Diceros bicornis minor: one gene and its partners. The protein of the gene in region 2 binds, or shares a complex with, the protein of the main gene of each other region. Links are inferred from orthologs where the notes say so. Each region holds a gene or a part of one and is shown on either strand. Other genes may lie near its edges.

The links. The genes of interacting proteins can lie anywhere in the genome.
Region 1: GNAI1 (region 2) and GPSM2 share a complex: the UniProt entries of both Homo sapiens proteins name them as parts of the spindle orientation complex. The link is inferred for Diceros bicornis minor from reciprocal best matches to the Homo sapiens genes GNAI1 and GPSM2.
Region 3: the proteins of GNAI1 (region 2) and ADORA3 are in contact, whole or in part, in a cryo-EM structure (PDB 9EBH), measured with the Homo sapiens proteins. The link is inferred for Diceros bicornis minor from reciprocal best matches to the Homo sapiens genes GNAI1 and ADORA3. Residues at the interface, in NP_002060.4 of Homo sapiens: Arg24, Glu28, Arg32, Asp193, Leu194, Phe336, Thr340, Ile343, Ile344, Asn347, Leu348, Asp350, Cys351, Gly352, Leu353, Phe354; in NP_000668.1 of Homo sapiens: Gln44, Thr47, Arg108, Arg111, Val112, Thr115, Val116, Tyr118, Lys119, Arg120, His124, Ile204, Thr228, Ser231, Leu232, Lys285, Ile286, Lys288.

Annotation. Positions count from the first base shown.
Region 1 is NC_080743.1:42,058,537-42,065,515, forward strand, and holds the start of GPSM2 (G-protein-signaling modulator 2), read left to right. Parts: upstream 1-3,974; 5' UTR 3,975-4,199; intron 4,200-6,979. UniProt on the Homo sapiens protein: Plays an important role in mitotic spindle pole organization via its interaction with NUMA1. Required for cortical dynein-dynactin complex recruitment during metaphase. Plays a role in metaphase spindle orientation.
Region 2 is NC_080742.1:17,728,105-17,735,189, reverse strand, and holds the start of GNAI1 (guanine nucleotide-binding protein G(i) subunit alpha-1), read right to left. Parts: upstream 3,022-7,085; 5' UTR 2,742-3,021; coding exon 2,624-2,741; intron 1-2,623. UniProt on the Homo sapiens protein: Guanine nucleotide-binding proteins (G proteins) function as transducers downstream of G protein-coupled receptors (GPCRs) in numerous signaling cascades.
Region 3 is NC_080743.1:44,415,798-44,422,857, forward strand, and holds the start of ADORA3 (adenosine receptor A3), read right to left. Parts: upstream 3,006-7,060; 5' UTR 2,959-3,005; coding exon 2,609-2,958; intron 917-2,608; coding exon 310-916; 3' UTR 1-309.

The DNA.
Region 1 (6,979 bases), on a different chromosome or scaffold from region 2:
TCTTTTATTTCTTTAAATATATCAAATATACATATTTATAATTTACAACTGGTAATTCTTGTTTCAATGTCTTTATGAGTTTGATTCTGTTATCTGTTTTTTCTGCTAATTCTTGTATAAGATGCCTTATTTCTTTGTATGATTTGTGATTTGATTGAAAGTTCACATTTCTTGGAACTTTCTCTATGGAAATCTTTGGGGTCTGGGTTAAGTTGGTGTCTTAGTCAACTTGGGCCAACAAAATATCATAAACTGGATTGCTTAAACAAAACATTTATTTCTCACAGTTCTGGAGGCTGGGATGTCCAAGGTCAAGGTTCCCGCAGATCCAGTGTCTACTTCATAGAAGGGCATCTGCTCTCTGTATCTTCACATGGTGGAAGGGGCAAGGTTTCTCTCTGGAGTCTCTTTTATAAGGGCACTAATCCCATGCATGAGTGCTTCACCCTCATGACCTAATCACCTCCCAAAGGCCCTATCTCCAAATACCATCACACTGAGGATTAAGCGTAAACATGTGAGTTTAGGGGAAACACAAACATTCAGTCTTTAGCAGTAATTTTCTTTTCTACTTTTTGTTCTGAAAAATTCCAAATTTCAATAAAATGTAAAAGAGTAATATATGAATGGTATAGTACAAGAATAGTATATATATGCTATATATATCTTCACCTAAATCCAATTGTTAACATTTGGTTTGTATTTCTCTCTTTATCTCTGTCTTTTGCTGAACCATTTGAATATAAGTTGCAGAAGTCATGGTTCTTTACTCTTAAATAGTTCAGCTTGCATTTCCTAAAAATAAAGAAATTCTCCTACATAACCATAATTCCATGTCACATCTAAGAAAATTAACAATAATTCCATAATATCATCTAATATACAGTCTATATTCAAATTTCCCCAATTGTTCTTAAATGTCTTTTATAGTCTCTCTCTCTCCTTCTCTCTCTCTGCTTCAGGACTCCATCAAGATTCATGTAGTTTTTTTTGGTTTGTTTTTCATGACAGTGACATTTACGAAGAGTCTGGCCTAGTCACCTTGTAGAACGTTTCAAATTCTGGATTTGATTCAGAGCACGCTTTTAAAAAATAAAAATCAGGAGCCAGCCTGGTGGCATAAGTTTAAGTTATGGTTTAAGATCGCATGCTCTGCTTCGGTGGCTTGGGGTTCGCAGGTTCAGATCCTGGGCACAGACCTATGCACCACTCATCAAGCCATACTGTGGTGGCATCCCACATACAAAATAGAGGAAGATGTTAGCTCAGGGACAATCTTCCTCAGCAAAAACTGGAAGATTGGCAACAGATGTTAGCTCATGGCCAATCTTTGTCACCAAAAAAAAATATATATATATATATATTTATATTATATATATAAATTTATTTATTTAATTTATAAATTAAATATATTTATAAATTATAATATAAATATATAAAATATAATATAAATATAAAATATAAGAATAAAATATAAAATATAATATAAATATATTTATAAATTATAATAAAATATAAACATATTTATATAATTTATAAATTAAATAAATATATATAATATATTATATATTATATATATAAATATAATATTTATATTTATATATATTTTTTATATTATTTATATATATATAATATATTATATATATATAAATATATTATATATATATATCAGATGAAGTTACTCCTATATTCATAATCTTCCACTGGCTACTATAAAATTTAGAAAATAAGGCCTGAGCTCATTATCCTGGCTTACAGAGGCCTGCATGATCTGGTGTGACTTCATCTTGTATGTTTTTCTCTCCTTCACTTCACTTAAGCCACAGTGGCCTTATTCCAGTTTCTCAAACCCACAAGGCTTGTCCTCACTGGACTTTGCATTAGCTGTTTTCTTTACTTAATGTGGTCTTCCTGAGCTTTGCTTGAAGGCTAGCTGCTTCTTGTGTAATTCAAATCTCAATTAGACACCATCTTCTCAAAGTGGCCTTTCTTACCTTGACCCTCAATCTAAAGTAGTCATTCAGTCACCCACTCTCACATAATCCTACTTTGAATTCTCTGCATGGTACCTATCACAACCTAATATTTTTCTCGTTGTTTACTTTTATTAAACTCCATGATATCAGGGGGTGTGTTCTGTCTTGCTCACTACTATATTCCCAGCACCTAGAACAGTTCCTGACACATAGCAGAAACTTAAATAAATACTTGCTAAATACTGCAATGGATAAGCTGAAGGATGAAAAGAAGGCAGCTATTTAAAGAGCTTGGGGGAAAAAATCTAAGGAGAGGGAACTGCCAGAGAGAAGACCCTGAGGCTTGGTCTGTTCTAGGGCCTGAAGAATGTCTTGTGTACTTAGAGTGAGCCAGGTGGAGAGGGAAATAAAGGAGAGTAGAGAGGTGGGCAGGGCAAGATGACTTAGGGCTCTGGGGGCCATGGTAGGGAATTTAGATTTTATTTTAAATCAAATGAGAAGTCACTGAAGATTTTCAAGTAGGAGAGGGACATAATCTGATTTATGCCTTTTAAAAGATAATTTAATTTGAGTAATTGGGAAGATGGAGATCAATATCAATGATAGAAAGTCACTGTAAGAGAAGATTTGCAGGAAATGATTCATTTTGAACATGTTGAATTTGATATATTGTACTTCCTTTGTGGCTTTCATATTAACACCCAAAAAAAGAATTTATGAGTAAGAAGGAATTATAATACCTACCTCTGAATAGTACAGCCAGCTGATTCAGTTGTTGTTTATAAGAACCTGCTACTAAAGGTAGTTGTTGCTAACAACAGGCACCATTTATTGAGCAGTCAGGCACTATGCTAACCACTTAACAATGTTTACATCACTGAAGCATCACAACCACCCTTATTAGAAGAGGACTTATTATCTATATTTTACAACTGAGGAAACTAAGGCTAAAGAAGATAAGTAACTCATTCAAGGTCAACCAGCCAGTAAGCGGCAGAGAAGGAACTCAAATTCCAGGTCTAGTTTGATGCCAAATCTATTTTAACCAATTTGCCATAACATGTTCCCAATAAGAGAAAGGCTGCTTGGATCACTGGTTGTGGCCATCATTCACAGAGAGATTGAAACCGAGGGTTTCTTTAATATATCCTTAAGCCTGTAGAAACACCTACCTGAGAAATAATCTAATTAAATTCGTCAAATTCTTTAGCCCAGAGAGACAAGTCTTGGAATTTTTGAGAAAAACAAACTGAGATCTATTTGTTGTTAACTCGATATGGAGAGGAAGTGAATGGAAATAAAACTTATTCTTCCCAGTGTATTTGGAATGTAGCTGCCTGAAACTGAGTAAAACGGCTACCCAATTTTGCTGGGAACCAGCGATTCTGCAGTCAACAGAAGTTTGCTTTTTTAACAGCTGGAAACGCCAGAACTGTGACACAGCCTCAAGAACTGAGGCTGCCTTGTTCAGACCTCCACACGGGTCCCTCTGTTCCTTTCACAGAGCCCTCTTTTTCTGAAACATCCCGCATATGCCGCTTGGGATACTCATTCTCTGGGCCAGGACCGAGTCCTAAGGGCAGGAGGCACTGGTTTTGGGCTCCCGTCTTTTCAAGGGGTCTGGACAAGAGCCCCTCCGAAGACCTCTTTCTGGACAATATTTATCGCTCCACCCTTCAGTGTCTGAAGAACAAAGACGACGACGGGAAAGAAACTTCAATTTGGTGCTGGAGGGCAGATCCCGGAGCAGCGGAGGACCGAATCACCCAACGCCCCCCTCAGCCTGACACGCAGAACCCCACCCACCCAGGACGGCGGAGGCCGCGCGGGGACGATCGCTCCGCCCCGCCCCGCCCCACCGCCGGCCATTGGCGGGTCCGAAAGTCGCGGGGCGGTGTCTGTTTGAATGTGAGCGACTGGAGCCGGGGCGCAGGCGCAGAGGAGGGGAGCGGTGAAGAGCGGGCGGCGCTGCGGACCCCTGGTTGGCGGTGGGACGTGTCGGGAGGCGAGGCGAGTCCAGGGAGGTCTGGCCCACGTGACCCGCCGGGGGCCGGGTCGGGGGGCGCGCGCCGGCCTCCCGCGGTGCCCCTGCCTGGCGAGGCGCCCGTGGCGCGCTGACACGCCTGGTGGAGGGGCTGCCGCCGCCCGCCCGTCGCCCGAGGCGGCCGCTGCTGCAGCTTCGCCGCGTCCCCCGCGCTCCCAGGACTCGCCGGCCCGCGGGAGGTGAGTTCTGAGGGGCGTTTGAGGGCGCCCCGCGGCGGGAGGTGACAGGGAGGGGGCGTGTGTGGGACGGGCTCTGTGTCCAGGGTCTGGGGGCGACCGCCTTTGTTCGGGGCGGGAGGAGCCGGGGGTGGTCGGCGGGGACGCGAGTGGAGAAACCAGAAACTCGGGATGAGGGACAGCTGCGTCCAGGACGAGCGCTCAGCTGCTTTCTGGTGGACGTTTTAAAATGAGAGTAAAGCTTACGAGCCTCGTTCCCTAGTATTTTTTAAATAAAAAGTTCCCTAGTATTTTTTAAATAAAAAGTATATTAGGATACAGTGATTTGTCACGTATTCTCAGTGTGAGTAACAAACCTGAAAAATCGGAATCCCTGTGGAATTAGACCCCAGGCAGATTGCAGTCACTTGTAGTCGTGCGCTGCTGTCTAAACCAGGCAGTTTTTGTCAAACACCTGCGTTTACAATATTTAAATTCATGATCTTTCGGACACCAGCCTGTCGATTTACCATAAAAATTGGTAGTTGCTGCAAAAAGTTTTAGTAAGCATGGAATGTTAAGAAAGCCCTTTGCTGAAAACCTATAGAATATCTTCGAATAGTAAAAAGTGGAAAATGTGTAATTTCCTTGTTTTGATGGTAACCAGTTAGATCATTTTAACTAGTATCATTTGAACTCCGTTAAAGAATAGGAGTAAGGATGGAAATTTTATTTGCCTTAATGCATAATTAAACCCTACCGTGGAGTTAAACGAAGTAGGCTCTTGGCTCTGCTTTCTTCGGCTTGTGTTGGAGTCTCTCGTCGTGGGTGTGGGAGGTTGATGTACCGACCGAGCTGAACTTTCAGGCTGCCACTTTAGAATGGTGCGCGGAAGATTTCCAGCCTGATAGCCGCCAGTGTGATTACCTCTGATAAATACCACTTTTGCTTGAATTGTCACTTTTCAAGAAGCAACTGTGGTTGATTTTTAGAACTGAGTAAGCAGCAGATCACTGTTGGTTGACATGGATGTGTGTGAGGGCTCAGGGGCTGAGGGACAGTCTCATACCTACTCTTCTTTACACCTTACCGTGGATTCGTTCTGACAAACTCTTTCTCAGGCTGTTCTTTACAATGTAAGGAGTGGAGCAGATACAAAGTAAAAAGTTGTGTGATATTGTTGAGAGGCATTTCCTCCGAATCCTCTTTGGCTAGATAAGCAGTTTAGGTGTGTTTTCTTCTGTTATTCAATCAGACATGCAGTGTTACAAATATTATATTTTAATATAAATCTCAGACTTGGTACTTAGGCTAATTGTAACACAGATAGGATATAGTCGTTTTTAAAATGGCCTCGTTCTTAAGGATAAAATATTTCTAAGATTTACCTAAAAGATAAAATTTTGTAATTAGTAATCTCTGGAATTTTAAAATTGAAAATCTGGTATAGATTTAGACTATCCTAAATCTATTCTAATAGACATGTTCTTTTTTATAATAATAATAATAGCTATTATTATTATTGCTACTATACTTTGAGTACTTTCGTTAAGTACCAGAGCCAGGCATTGGGTTAGGTGCTTTATAAATCAGATCTCCCATCATCACAACACATGTTGGTGTTGGATAAGTATCATTATGCCCAAACCAACTCTGCGAGTTTAGCTCAAGATCATATAACTAAGTTACTGTGCTGGGCTTCAAACCGTGGCCTGATCCCAAAGCACATGCTGTATCGCGTCTGTGTCTTTGTTTAAATCTCCTCCAGGTCTCTGGATTCCATTTGTAAGGACATAATCCTACTTTTAAGATGCCTGTAGGTGCTGTGTCTTGTTGTGAACTATGCAGAAATATTTCAGTCCTTAGTTTAGGACTTCTGTCTTCCTTTCAATACCTTATAAATCACAAATCCTTTTAATCATCTTTATAAAAACAGTAAAAAATTAAGAGTAAGACTTTCCTGAGTTATTTACATGAATATGAATATATTCTTTACTGTGGAGCAGAAACGTACTAAAGGCCGGTTTTCTCATTATTATAGGATTCTTTGCCGCTTCATAGTTTTTATCTTCTTTACGGGCAAGAAATCAAAAAAGTTTGTTGGACATCGATTATGTGCAAAGCAGTTTGCTTGGTGTTGTGAGATGACAAGAGAAGGCTTCCTATGCAGTAGTTGCTTCTGGAGTTTTTACAGTATCTTTCATCAGTCTCCCTGTCCTGCCCCATATGTTGCTGACAGTTTATCTTCCTAACACGGATCTAACTTTGCTATTCCTTTGTTGAAAAAATTACAGGGTTCCTCATTATGTAATATAGGGTTGAATATGTGCTTCAGCCATGTACGTATTCAGAGTCCCTCACAGTTTAGTGCGTTCTTGGACTTCTCTTTCTCTACTCCTGACCCAGTGTGCTTGTCCTGGCACACGTGCATTCTGTGCATTCCCATCCCCTTGCTTGACTTGAGCCATTTCCCTGTGCTGGAATTGCCTTTTCTCCGTTTGCCTAATAAGGTCTACCCATCCTGCAAGATGCAGTACAGATTTCCTTGCTTCCTCAAAGCTGTCCTTCGTCCTTTTTACTTAGAATTATTCTTCCCGTATCATCTCATAACATTACTGACTTGAACTTTTCCACAGAATGGTGGTAACTTTTGGAAGGAGAAGACGGAGTTATATTTCCTATGAAGAATTCTGACTTCAAAGTCTCTAGGGATCCTCTTTAGGCATTTATAATCCTTTTGCATTTGGGATTTATTTCTGCTTAAAATTGTGTTTGAAACCAGTTTTGCCTTTTTAAAGTCCTTC
Region 2 (7,085 bases):
ATAGATACCCACTACCCAAAGCTTTTTACTAATAATGTGTGTTTCATACCTGAATCTTTCAACCCAGATGTCTAAAAAGACAATACAGGCCGTAAGGAAAAATGCAATATAATGAACTATTTAATATATGTCTTAAATATATTTTAGAGGCTTTTTGCCTTAAATGAAAAAAAAAATCATGTGATGAGAAAAACAAAATAATAGAAGAGGTAGAAGACCTGATGTAAATGGAAGTGACCCTCGTTACAGATTACCTGGAAACCATTTTATATTCCTAGTTGATTCGGTTGCCGTGTTTTATATGGAACGATTCCACTGACTTGCTTATATATATGACGTTAAACATCCAGAAAAGAACCAAAGGTCAACACTTCCCGCTAAAGTCAAATCAGGGGAAAAAGAAATGTTTTCAAACATTTCAAGAATTATGATTTCCTAAATAAGTAAGCCAGTATTCTGTTTATAGGAACTAGGGTGCTAGAATTCTGGGCAAAAGGGTAGAGTTCAGTGGGAGTAAGACAGACACTGAGGGGAAGGAGGAGGAGTGCTGGGCCCACAAGCCAGGAATGCGGCAGAATCTCCACACAGAGAAGAGATGCAGGGAAAAGACTCAAGCCAGAGAAGACAGCAGACGGAACTCAGTTACCTAAAGATTTCAAAAATCATTTAGAAATCTTTCTGACATTACTGGCACAGAGAAACAAAAATTCCGCAATTTCTTCTGAAAATCACGACTCTGCTACACTTTCTCATAACTCTCTCTTATAGTTGGCTATAGAGATGCAACTTTTGGTTCTTCATTACACATTCAACTATATTTACTTATTAATCTAGAACAGTGGTTCTCGCAGAGGTTAATTTTTGCCCCCACAGGACATCTGGGGATATATGAAGACATTTTCAAGGGTCACAGGTTGAGGGGGCTACAACGGGTATCTAATGGGTAGAGGCCAAAGACATGCTCCCATCCTACAATGCACAAGACAGCCTGCACCACAAAGAAGCATCCTACCCAAAATGCCAACAGTGCTAAGACTGAGAAACACCGATCTCTTCTGAGTAGAAGCAAAACCCAACTTCCTGGACCTTTATCCCAGTCCGTCTCTCTCTAACAGACATCTAGTTAAAGCATAAAATAACACCAGAGGGTTCATTTTTCAACTGCTTTAAACATGGTGGACGGCTGGCTCAAACTAAGAGTCACACTACAATACACTGAAATAATATATCAGAGCAGGAGTGCAGAAACTGCAGGAAAATAACTTTTTAATCATTTTTTTTGCATTTTTGCCTCAAGTACATTCAATTCATAAGAGGAGCATCTACATGTTTCCATACCAAGGTGTGTCTCTTTTATGTTCAATACACTAAAAATACACTCCCCTCGTCAAAATAGGGTATTTCTTATTAATGTAAAAACTTAAGCAAACAGTATTAACTGAGAAAGATTAATGTTGGGGGTGGGGGTGAAGAAAGCCAGCCAGGTCTTTAAAATGCAAAGTTATTTCACAGTTCGCTCGAAAAATGACTCAGATCATTATTACTTTTAGTCACGCCAAGTTTCTGCTTCTAAGCCTACTAGTAACGGAGGAAAAAAACCACCATTTTTCCTGCAGTCATTAAACTAATGAAACAGAAGCTTGTGCAATATTTGCCTTTTATTATAACTGTTATAAAATTAAAAGCAACCGCTGAGAGTGCAAATTAAGATTGTAAGAAACCTTTCATCTACTTAAATACTATAGGGTGGGGGGGGGAAACAAGCAAACAAAAGAAAACCCTAACTCATACAACTACAAATCTTAGGCTGTGAATATTTCCTAATGTATCCCTCAGTCAAAACCCTGGCTCACTCTTTTTATGTTCTCTCCTTTCAAACAACTGGAAAAGACCTTCACACAGCGTTTCACTAAGAGAACAATGCTAAGAACAAATGAAAGCCTTGGCGAGTACCTGGCCAACCTCATCCATCCGAAAGTGAGGCGGCCAGGAGTGCCGTCTTCGGCGTGACCCTCTCGCACCTTTCCCATCGGCTTTCTCCGCTCGAGCATCTCACTAGAGCAAATGTTACCAACTCTGGTGGTTTCCGGGACCCCACAGTAACAGAAATGGAGCACCCAGCATAGCCTACTTTCTCACGGGGGGTCAATGCAATCAGTGCTCCCTTCACACTGACCGAGTCGCCGGTGGAGACACGCTGCAAGCCACGGAGGCCCCGCAGAAGGTGCGCTGACTTCACAAAGCCTGGCGCTCCTGCCCGTGGGGAACCACAACCGCGAGAGCGCACCTTGTAGGAAGGGTGGGGGGCTCTTACTGTGCGGGTGCCCTTCATCCTCACACGGCGGAGCTAACTCCAAAGAAAAGGGCTTCCTCGAGATCCACTCCTCGGCCCTCGGGGGTCCACACCAGCGCGAGCGAGGGAAGCGAAGCTCCCGCCCACCGCGGGGAGTCCTCCCCGGCCGAGGAGGGGGGACGAGGACCGGACACGCTCCCTCGGACACCATCTCGGGCACTACCACACGCGCCATCGGCGGCCGGGACACGTCCCCCGGGTTTCCGCACGCCCCGGAGTCCGCGCCCGCCCCCGCCGCCCCCCGGGCCCCGGGCCGGCGCCGGCCCTTACCGAGCAGCAGCAGCTTGACCTCGCGCGCCGCCTTCTCGCCGTCCTCGCGCAGATTGCGGTCGATCATCTTACTGCGCTCCACCGCCGCCTTGTCCTCGGCGCTCAGCGTGCAGCCCATCGTGCCCGAGCGAGAGCGCGGCGCCCTCCGGCCGTGCAGTCCCCAACGCAGGTGAGCGCTTCCTCTCCGGACGCGGGCGATCCACCCTCCCGGCGCCGGCCACCTCCGCCGCCCCTCCTGACCGGCTGGGAAGGCGCTGTCCACAAAGGGGCCGCACACCGCGCTGCTCCCCACGGCCGCTCCGCTCCCGGTGCCCCTCGGTGCCCCACAAGTCCGGGTGTCGGGGTTCTGGCAACAGCTACCGCCGCCTCCTGCCGCTGGCCGCGCCGCAGCCTCCAGAAGCCCAGGGAGCTGGCGTCCGCGCGCCGCCGCCGCCCCGCCCCGCGACCACTCCCGGAGCGCGCTCCCGCCCCCTGTGGCCCCGCCCCGCTCCGCCCCGCCCCCGGGCCCCCACCGAGGCCTCGCCCCTCCCACCATCCTCGCCCCGCCCACCCGCCCCCGGAGACCACTCCCACAGCGCGCTCCCGCCCCCCGCGGCTCCGCCCGCCCCCTCCGCCGGTCCCACCATCCCGGCCCCGCGACCACTCCCGGAGCGCGCTCCCGCGCACGTGTCCTCGGACAGCGGCCCCTTCAACGGGCGCGCGCCCCCGCGCGGAGGGCGGCCACCCGGGCGTCGCGCGCCCCTTGGAAGCGCCCTCGAAACCCGGAGCTGCCCAACGAGCCCCCCCATCTCGCTGCCTTCGCGGGCGCGGATAATTTCTCCGGGTTTGCTCGCACCGAGGGAGCTGTGCGGACCTGCCCCTTCGGGCTGCGGGTGGGAGAGCTGCCAAAGTTGGAAGGGGAAAAAAGCCCGTCCTGGGCGTCTGAGCATGCCCAGCGCCGGCAGCAGCGCGAGGGTTTCCGAAACGCAAAGCCCAGTCGGCCGGCCTCCTGGGCTGTGGAAAATAGAGGGAGCTGGGGAGGGAACGGAGCCGTGGCGAAAGCAGAGCTGGGGATACGGGGGAATAGAAAAGTCTGCGGAGGAGGATAGGAGGTCAGCTTCCTCCCTTCCGTGTTCCTTTCCTTCCTTTCCTCCTTCCATCCATTCTCACGTTTCTTTTCACAAGCAGAGCACATTTGGAAGGATTTCCTCACGACCTGAGAAAATGTGAGACAAAGAATCAACGAGTGTATTTTAAAATGACAAGAGCTATAAAACACACCCACACAAACAAATCTGCTCTCCTCTGGGGCGGCATGTAAGCTTCCGAGCCGAGTTTGAACCGATATTTATGACCATGTGAGTAAATCATAAGCCACTGGGCACGTCATTCCTTCTTGCAGGCCTTAGCTTCCTTGCCCAGAAAATGAGGAGTTGATCCACACCATCACTCCATCCTCCCAGCTGTAATGGTCTGGGGGAGATCAGCTCCTGGGGCCTGCTGAGGCATTCTGCTCAGCATCCAATTAGTGAGCATAGGTTTAAGTTCTGGTCTGTTCCTGCCATTGTCACTGCGCACTGCACCTTTCCCTTACATACATCTCAGGAAATGTTGTTTGCGTAGAACATGGGCTTGGTAGCAAAGAAAAATATCTTCTTTGATGTATTAAAATTTAGGAAATTGGTCTTTGGTTTGCATCTGGAAGTCTTATTTTCTAAAAGCCATTGGTAAAACTGGGCTTGAGTTTTCCAGTGTGAGGCTGAGCTGATGCTACAGTCAGAATAGCTTTAGAGCGGGTCACGTAGGCCAGGCCTGTGGGCAAGCAGAGACTGTCAGTGTCCTCCCTACTGGACGTGCCCTTTCCTGTTCTCCTACAAAGCTGCTGGGCTCAAGGGATGCCATTTCAAGAACTGCCTCAACTGTTCATAATATAACAACAAGAAGGAGCAAGCCTTAAAGTGTACTTAGTCACCTTCTACCCTCTTTGTATTTCTTGGCACTCTAAATGATAATGTTCCTCAGAAACTCTGGAATTAAACTTGATGGAGTGAACTTTCAACATAGTGTTTGTGTATTAGCCATTTTGGATTATCTGTTATTGTCTTTCCTATAAGCTTCAGGCCATATAGAGTGTGGGACCTACAATGACAGGAAAAGAGGAAGCAATCATAACTGAGTACTGGTGGAAATGATAAAAAATTTGTGTTTTAAAGAAAAGAAATTATAACAGAATTATACACATTACCCCTCTCATTTGAGAAGCTTATCAAGTAGGTGAGGAGGCAAAATATAATACATGGATGAATAAGAACTGAAAAGAGTTCTGTGAATAAGAACATAGCTTTATATGAAGCTAAACTTCTGAGAGGAGGCATAGGAATGGAGCGATCAGTATGAGGGGAAATTCGGAGAGAAGAAAGTTTTGAAAAACCTTTTGAAGGAAGAAGAAAGCCATGACTGGGGATCTTTGTGGAATTCCAAGGGGTATGTATTGGTCAGCTTGGGCTGCTGTAACAAAATACCATAGACTGTTTGGCTTAAACAACAGGAATTTCTTTCTCACAGTTGTGGAGGCTGGGAAGTCCAACATCAAAATACCAGCCAATTCATTTCCCCAGTGAATACTCTCCTCCTGGCTTTCAGATGGCCACCTTCTTGCTGTGCCCTCACATGTGGAGAGAAAGTGCTCTAGTCTCATTTCCTCTTCTTATAAGGACACTAATCCCATCATGGGGGCCCCACCCCCATAACCTTATCCAAACCTAATTACCTCCCAAAGGCTCCACCTCAAAATAGCCTTATATTGGAGTTAGGGCTTCAACATATGAATTTGGGGGGGACACAAGCATTCAGTCCATAATAGGATATATTTTGTTTGAGAGGAATAACCAGCTAAAAGGGTTAATGTGTAATGTACATGTTAGAGAAAGCAGTTGTTTTGTCATTGAAATGTAGTTTGGCTGCGAAGAATGATAGGAAGTGTGGGACAAAGTTGAAAGAGAGCTTTAAATATTAAGGTGAAGAGTTGGACTTTATACAATGGGTACTAAGTGTTCCTTACGTTCTCCTGAATTGGGTAATAGGTATTTAAAAAAAAAATCTCTTACCCAACAAAACAAGTGAGTTACCAGCAAGTAGATTGTCTTAGTAATACCGTATGAGGTGGCAAGAGTCATTCAAATTAATAATTTACATAATTATGATGTTGCAAAATGTGATTCAACAATCTTGTCAAGGAGGTAGAGCAGATATATTAACTCATCAATGTTGTAGAGAATGAAATTGAAATACAGAGGTTAAAGCAATCTACTTCAAAGTACTGTTTTCCCTTCTGGACATCATATTTTTTAAACAACTATATTGAGATGTAATTCACACACCATATAATTTATCCATTTAAAGTGTACAATTCGGTGGCTTTTAGTATATTCACAGAGTTGTACAACCATCATGACACTCAATTCTAGAACATTTTCATCACCCCAAAAAGAAACCCTGTACTCCATAGCCATTATCCTCCAATCTTTCCACCACCCCCGCCTCATCCCCTCAAGTCCTGGTCAACTACGAATCTACTTGCTGTCTCTACAGATTTGCCCATTCTGGACATTTTATATAAAAGGAACCATATAGTATGTGGTCTTTTGTGACTGGCTTCTTTCACTTAGCATAAGGTTTTCAAGGTTCATCCATGCTGTAGCATGTATCAGTACTTCACTTCTTTTTATTGCTGAATTATACTGAGCATCATATGTTAAGAAAATTAGAGACATGTTAAAAGACAAATTGGGACACATTCAGCTGAGAGCATCTAAATCTTAAAGTAACTCCAAACTGTGTCATAAGAAATAATTGAAGAAACTGGGGATACAAATGAGAAGGTACAAAGAGACATGATAGCTATTTCCAAATGACTGAAGAGATATTGTAAATCAGAGGGAATAGACATTTTCTGTGTGGATTCAAGTGGTAGATTTAGAAGTAGTGGAAGAAAGCTATAGCAAGAAATTTTATCATGATGTGAGAAAAAATAGTGTACAATTCCCCACAAAGGAAATAGCGCACCTCAGAAACTCACACATTCTTAACTAAGATGTAACAATCTAGACTAGATGGTCGCATATTGGGAAAGATTTAGATATAGAAGAACTTTTAGGATCCCTTCCAACCGTGAGATTCTGTATTATTCAGAAGTCAAATGGGATTAGTGTAAGAACTGAGATTAAAATTAAGAAACTGCTGGCCTCCAACCTTTTCCCCACTCATCCTGCCATCAGAAAAACAAGCAAAAGTGGGAAAGGAGAGTTTATCTGAGATGTGTTGGCTTGGTATGTTGATGGATTAGTGTGGGGAGAAGAGGGAACCATAGAAGAAGACAGAGTCAGGACAACCTGACATGTATACACACACAGAAAGAGAGAGATCAGAGGGCAGTGTGTATCTTTGGCTGGATAAATTGGGAGCAGATGTGGCATGTGGACAC
Region 3 (7,060 bases), on a different chromosome or scaffold from region 2:
GCATCCTTCAGATTCCATGACTTCTCCTCCTGTTTGGGAAGGAGGAACACAGGCAGTAATAACTACAGAACATTGTCCTCAAGTCAGGCATCCATAAAATTGAATTAGAGAAGGACAAGGAAAAAAAATAGAATTAAAGGAAGAGAGTAGTAGGAAAAGTAAAATTGGAGGCAGCGAGCCAAATGTTCCCCACCTCAGTGGAAGGAATCAAGGATGTGAAAGCCTCTGGCCCAGGTGGATAGGACCTCAAGTGTTTGTTGATGCTGAATCTGAAGGTGAATGGGATGGAGAGTCATCTCTCATGGCTAACTACTCAGAAGTCTGCTCAATGCTTGGATCCAAGGAATCAGAGGATTGGCAGATCATACAGGCTTTGAGGATCAAGAGATAGGTTTCCTTGAACTTCTTTATTTTACAAGCATAGACGATAGGGTTCATCATGGAGTTAGCATGGGACAGCAGGATGCCCAAGTACATCACAATTTGTGGTACCTCACCATTAAAGTATATGATACAGTTGATGATGGATAAAGGCAGCCAGGACAAAGCAAACAAGAAGAGAACCAGAAACAGAGACTTGGCTGTCTTGAACTCCCGTCCATAAAATGCTCCTGTCTCTTTGGAGCCAGAAAAGTTCAGATTGAGTTTGTTCCGGATGACGTAGAAGATGTCAAGATAGATGGCACTCATGACAACCAGGGGGATGAAAATCCAAGTGAAGAAGCTGAAGTAGACCATGTAGTCCATCCTCACGACAGAACGGAATTGGCATGAAAGGAAGGTGACATTTCTGTAGTACCCGGAGGTCAGTTTCATGTTCCAGCCAAACATGGGGGTCAATCCCACCAGGAATGATACCAGCCAGCAAAGGCCCAGGGCCAACCATATTCTTCTTTGAGTGGTGACCCTCCTGTATCTGTTTGAATGGAAGAGAGTCAGTGAGCTCACAGCAGGAAGTGCTAAAGGATGGGGGGAGCTGGGACTGGAGAGCATTGGCATTCTATGGTGATTTCAGCTGAACTCTGCTGGATATGAAGACAACAGGAGCAGACAATGATTGGAGAAAAATCCAGCAAACTTCTCTGGGGACTCTTCTAAAGAAGTACTATCTAGAATGGATCAGGAATATGTTGCCTAGAGTCACGTGCTTGCACGCACCACTCACAGCTCTATTTCCAGCCCAAGAATTCTTCAATTCCTGGGAGGTAAGAGTTATCTAAGTCCCTAGAACCACCTACCTGGTGAGAAATGATCCCCTCAAAGCACGTTTGCCTCCTGTGCTCAAGTGTTTATTTTGGCTATTGTGCTGATGCCCATAAATTATACTATGCCTCTCCCTCTTTTCCCCTCAATGTGTGCATGCCCCCATGTCTCTGTTTGCACCGGCATCCACACTTGATGTTTAGTCTATGGAGTTGCAAAGGTCGTGTTGAAGTGCTTCTGGGACCTTCAAAGCCTCATCCAATGAGAGTCACCATTTCTCCTTAAACCATCCTTCCTGACAACATCCTATATAGACTGGAAGAAGGAAACTGATCTCGTTAAGTACTAACTATGTACTCAGTAGACTTTATCTCAAAGAAATCCCACAACAAACTGGAGATATTTTATGATAATCTCCATTTCATTAATGGTAATAGTGAAAATAATAGTAGTTATAGCTACCATTTATTGAGCATCAACTGTGTGCCAGGCATTTTTCTAAGAGATTTACATGGGTTAACTCATTTACTCGTATGAGGAAGGTGTAATTATTATTCCCATTTTATAAGTGAAAAAAATGAAACAGACAAGTAAGTAACTTGTGCAAGCTAGAAGTGGTGGAGCTAAAAGTGAAAAGAGGTCTGAGTTCAGAGCATCTTAACCACTATGAGAAGATGAGAAACTGAAGCAGAGAAAGTTAAATAACCTGCCCAAGATCAGATCTCAAGATCTAGGTTTTGAACCCAGGCTTGTTTGTATCAAAAGCTTGTTTGTAGCTCCCTCACCAGGCTCTTTCCCCGGGAGGAGGGAGGAGAAACATGAGACAGGAGGAGACGCAGTTCAGGACACCTGGGCAATCAGATTTCTCCATTTGGCAGGACGTTCTGTTCACATGGTCACAGGAAAGGTTGTTACTACTTTTTGCAAAGGAGAAATCTTTTGACCCCCTTCTCAACATGGAAGAGGAAGCAAAGTTAAAATAACTTTACAATAACCTACATTGGCCAAGAACAGAACCATCAATTTAGCTCCTCTTATTCTTATGTGTCTGCTCCTTATCTTATCTAGTAGATTTCTATCATTTCTAAAAGCCAAGAGCATTTTTTACTAATTAAAAATGCATCAAGCTTTCATCATCTTTAGCTTCCTCGGGGGATCAAACGTACACTCCCAGAGTCAGTGGAGAGCGATGGGAGCATTCTTCTTTTTCTAGTTCCCGAATCTCAGCTCATTGTTGCTAAACCTCTCACACACCAAATGGTTAGAAGAAAGTGAGTGCCCTCTTTCAAGTGCAGAGGCCAACTTGGATTTGTTTTCACTCAAAGAGTCTGGGATCTGAACTTTGTAGCCCCACTTCCCAGGCACCTCTATCACTGCCGCACACCACCCCTCTCAAGCAGGTTACCTGATTGTGAGCTTGACCCGCAGGTATCGGTCCACAGCAATGGCTAGCAAGGACATGATGGAGGCGTGGGTGAAGACCAGTAGCAGGCAGGTCATGAGAAGACAGCTATAAAAGTGGGTCGTGATGCCCAGGCTAACGACAACGGCCAAAGGCATGACCAGGACGCCAACAGCAATGTCAGCCAGGGCTAGGGAGACAATGAAATAGAAGGTGGTGGTCTGCAGGCTAGGGTTCAGCTTGACCACCCAGATGACCATCACGTTGCCCACTATGGCGCAGAGCCCAATGAGAATCTCCACAGTGATGTAGGTAATGGTGGCCAACGACAGGGCAGTGCTGTTGACAGGCATCTTGCTTTCCCAGAGGAGCCTCCCAGGAGACAGGCATGCCAACAGGATCCGTGTGGGCCAGCGAGCCTAGCTCTTGCCAGACATCTTGCCAGAGCTCCAGGTGCAGCAGCAACAGTCTAAAACTCACAACTTAACCATTCCTTCTCTTCTCTGGTGGGGGCTCTCTTAGAGGACTCCTTCTCCTTAGAAAGATCCCATCACAAGGCAATTACTTCCAGCCCCTTTGCAGGCCACACATCCCCGGCTTCCTGGAATCCTGGGGGACAGTTCTATGTGGGCTGAATCTGAAAGTGCTGCTGCTCTTAGTTCCCCAGACAGACACGCTCAAGGCCTCTGCCTTCCCCTGCCTCCGTAGGGCTACTCAAGCTCCATCAAGATAAGCAGCCCTCTTCAGGGGTGTTTCAGGAAGTGAGATGGGCCAAGAGGAAGCACAGAGCCAAGAACACTCAGCAAGATGGAAAGAACAGAGGAGGGGGTGTGAGTGGCATGGAGAAGGCTCAACATTCATTGACTCAGGGACCGGATGAAAGTGCAGCACTGGGTGGGAGAGGAGCTGGGAGCACTGACTGCGTAATATTCTGGCTTTCTGCTAGCTTAGCACAGAGAATCAAAGGGAGACCACAGAGGAACAAGCAATAGACTTTGGTGGCAGCCTCTAACCTTAGCCAGAATTTATTCTTTCTTAATGCATTCAATAGGCTGAATGTTTGTGTCCCTCCAGAATTGATACATTGAGATCTGATGCTCAGGGCGATGATATTTGGAGGTGGGGCCTTTGGGAGATTATTAGGTCATGAGGGTGAAGCTCTCATGAATGGGAATAGTGTTCTTAGGAGATCCCACAGATTTCTCTTGTCCTTTCCACCATCTATGAACCAAGACGTGGGTCTTCATCAAACACGATTCTGCTGCTGCCTTGATCTTGGACTTCCCAGCCTCCAGAACTATGAGAAACAAATTTCTGTTGTTTATAAGCCATGCAGCCTTTGGTTTTTTGTTATATCAGCCTGAACAGGCAAAGACAGTGCAGAACAGCAAGCACTGAGAATTCGGCCGCATGAGTTGACTCTTTGCTGGGCACAGCTGGAACCCAGCCTTTGTATCAAAGATCTTTTGCCAAAGGGATAAGCTAAGATTCCCTGCTCAGAAGAGCAAAACTTCAGCACCTCCCATAAGCACCACAGCTGCTGACCCTCCGTCTCCCCTTCTCCGCCCACATACCCACCAGGCCTCCACACTAGCAACCAGCCTGTGTCAAATCTATTTGAGGAACAACAGGACAACAGGATAACCAGCCATGCAGAACAGAGGGAAAGGGTACCATGTGCCCATAGTCACATGGCATACCCTCCTCCCCTCGTGCCCCGCCCCCCACCCCCACCCTGCAGGAACAAGTGTCTGCTGGGAATCACACCCTGTCCCTGAAGTGGCTCACCTGGTCTCAACTCCTGGGAACCAGACACTTGAATGCAATCGTTATTTGGGGTACCTAGTTCAAGTGTTTCTCAGTGACGCCCAAAGGGGTTATTTAGAGAGACAGCAAAAGGAACAGTTGGACCTAAGCCCACACAGTGGATTGAAGGGTTTATAATATTTACCTTACACACCAATCTATGTACAGCCAAAAATAAAATTCAACGATAACAACAGTGTCATTCTGTTGTTTACTAACACTTTTCATGGGGCACCAGCGAGATGCCTCAGCACGGGGCCTGCCAGGGTCTTCTTCGGTTGTTCTGCTTTTACATCACCCACTGATCCCCCGCCGCATCCCAAGTCGGCCCAAGTCTGTCTGAAGCCTTGCTTATCCCCACTAGACTTGCCATTTCGCCCTGAGTGAACTCCCCAGGCATGAAGGGGGAGCCCTTTCCAACTGCATTTCTGTGTCTCTGGCACTTTTCGGTGTTAGCTCTACCCACATCCCTGCACTGTGGGAACTTGTGAGGCTTTGCCAGCCTCTAGTGTGGCCTCTCATGAATGTCTCTACTGCCACTGCTTTCTTTATCTCTGCTTGGGAGAAGGAAGCCACAGAGAGTGATTTCTAAGAGGCTGCGTGCTACCCACGCAAGTGGTTCTCACTAAAGCAATCGCTGAATCTTAGTGACTCACTGTAAAAAATGTACCCTCCCCTTGACCCTCAACCACCAGTAGCACCAAATAACCTTATATAAGAGAAAGACCCTCTGGTGTAGGGACGAGTCCTATTGCCTGGTTGTGGCAATTGTACAGCCAAGGAGTGATTTCCTGGAGGGCGTGGCAGCCCCAGGTCTGCCCTGGTGGCCAAGGCCGGAGGGAGGGGGCCCGTGGCAGAGAGGAGCACAGACGTTTGTTCTATGTTTGAGAGCTGGACAGACAATGGACAGCTCCTGCATTTGGGAAGAAAGAGAGAGGGGCCCTTGTGTGGTTATGGGCCAGAAGCTGGTGGGAGGGAAAAGGCGGTGGAGGCCAGGAAAAGTGCCCGAGCGATGGATCCAGCCCACCAGAAGTGGACCGAGGTGTTAGGGACAGATTTGACAGCTGGAGCTGGAAACTGACTGGCATGTGTTTTTGGATTCTTGCCCCTTTCTTCTCCTTTAGGACCCAGGTGACTCCTCTTGGGACCAGCCCATCTCAGCTGGTTAGAGACAACAAAGAGAGGGGTTTTGTCCAAGCACTAGTCACAAGAGCAGCGTGCTAGGGAGAGGATAGCCGTGAGAGAATAAACCACAGGATGATGGAGAGGCGGGGGACACACCTGCAGCCACCAACCTTGCCACCTCTTCCCATATGGGAATTCTGTTTCCAGAATTCTCTGCACATATCTGGGGAATTTCCTCTCTGTGAACATGGGAAGCCCTGTCCTTACATTTTCTGAGTAGAGCCCATTGCCTGCTCAGGGGGCAATTTGAGGGGTGAGGGGAAAGGCTTTCACAGTCACTTAACATTTTGGCCTAGGATGGGCCCTGAGTGTCCTTTTCACTCTAGATTGAACACCAAAGGGCAGTGGGGCACAGAGGACAGAGAGGCCACGGTGGCCTGTCACCTCACTTATCCATTCCCCCACCAGAACCCACAGCCAATCTTGGTTAAGTAAGTTCCCTTATCATCTCTCACATAGAGACGCCTCAGCCTCCTAACTCATCCCCAGATGTGAGTCCCCCCACAGCCTCCAAGTTGCCCCCATTCTTGAAATGGCGATGGGGTCTCCCAGCCCCCACAGTGTCTTGCTGCCTGGTTTCCCCGGAAACCATAAGCGCCCCCATGCTGAGCACTGGCGGCTCTGAGGCCTGCTCTTTCACCTCTGCTCCCCTCCGTTCCCCGCTTTTCCAGTTAGGAAAGCCCTTCTCCGCCATGCCCACCTAGAACACAGGCACTTTTCCTTCAAGACTGTTCTCAAGCAGAACCTTGAGTAAACTTCCCAGACACCGCCCCCTCTGGGACCCCAACATGCTGTGTTTATACAGCCCTCCCCTGTTATCCTCTAAGCTCATGGAGGGCAGGGACCTCCACTTCTCATCTCTGCATTTCCAGCCCCCATCACAATGCCTGGCAGAGAGAAGGCGCTCAGTATACTGAGAAATGAATGAACAGAAAGGGGCCTCAGTGAACCAGGGGCCATCAAGTCAGCATTGAGTGTATAACACCAATAAATCAACCAGGGCCTCTTAAGCACTTTCCATTATATCAGTTACTAATATTAAGCATTTTACTTACATGGTCTCATTCAATGTTCTCTGATGACATAGATACTATCAACTGTTACTCAGTTGAGCAAACTGAGGCTCACAAGTGTTAAATAATTTGCCCAGGTTTGCACAGCTAGGAAGTGGCAGAGCTGCATTCAAACCCAGGCTCCCGGCTTCAGAGCCCAGGTTCTGACCCCCAGCCTTTGGCAGATGAATGAGCAAGTGAACCACCACACGAAGCTTTCACAAGTACAAAGAGGCCCTGGATTTGACATTGTCATATTATCAACAGGAGGTTCTAACCTTATATCTGGAAAAGAAATTGGCGACCAAGACTATGGGGACAGAGCTCAAGTGCAACATGGGTCCAGCTCTGAGTCAAGAAGAGATGGAGGAACAGGAGAGACACTTGTACGAGGCCACTGGTGGGGCTGGGA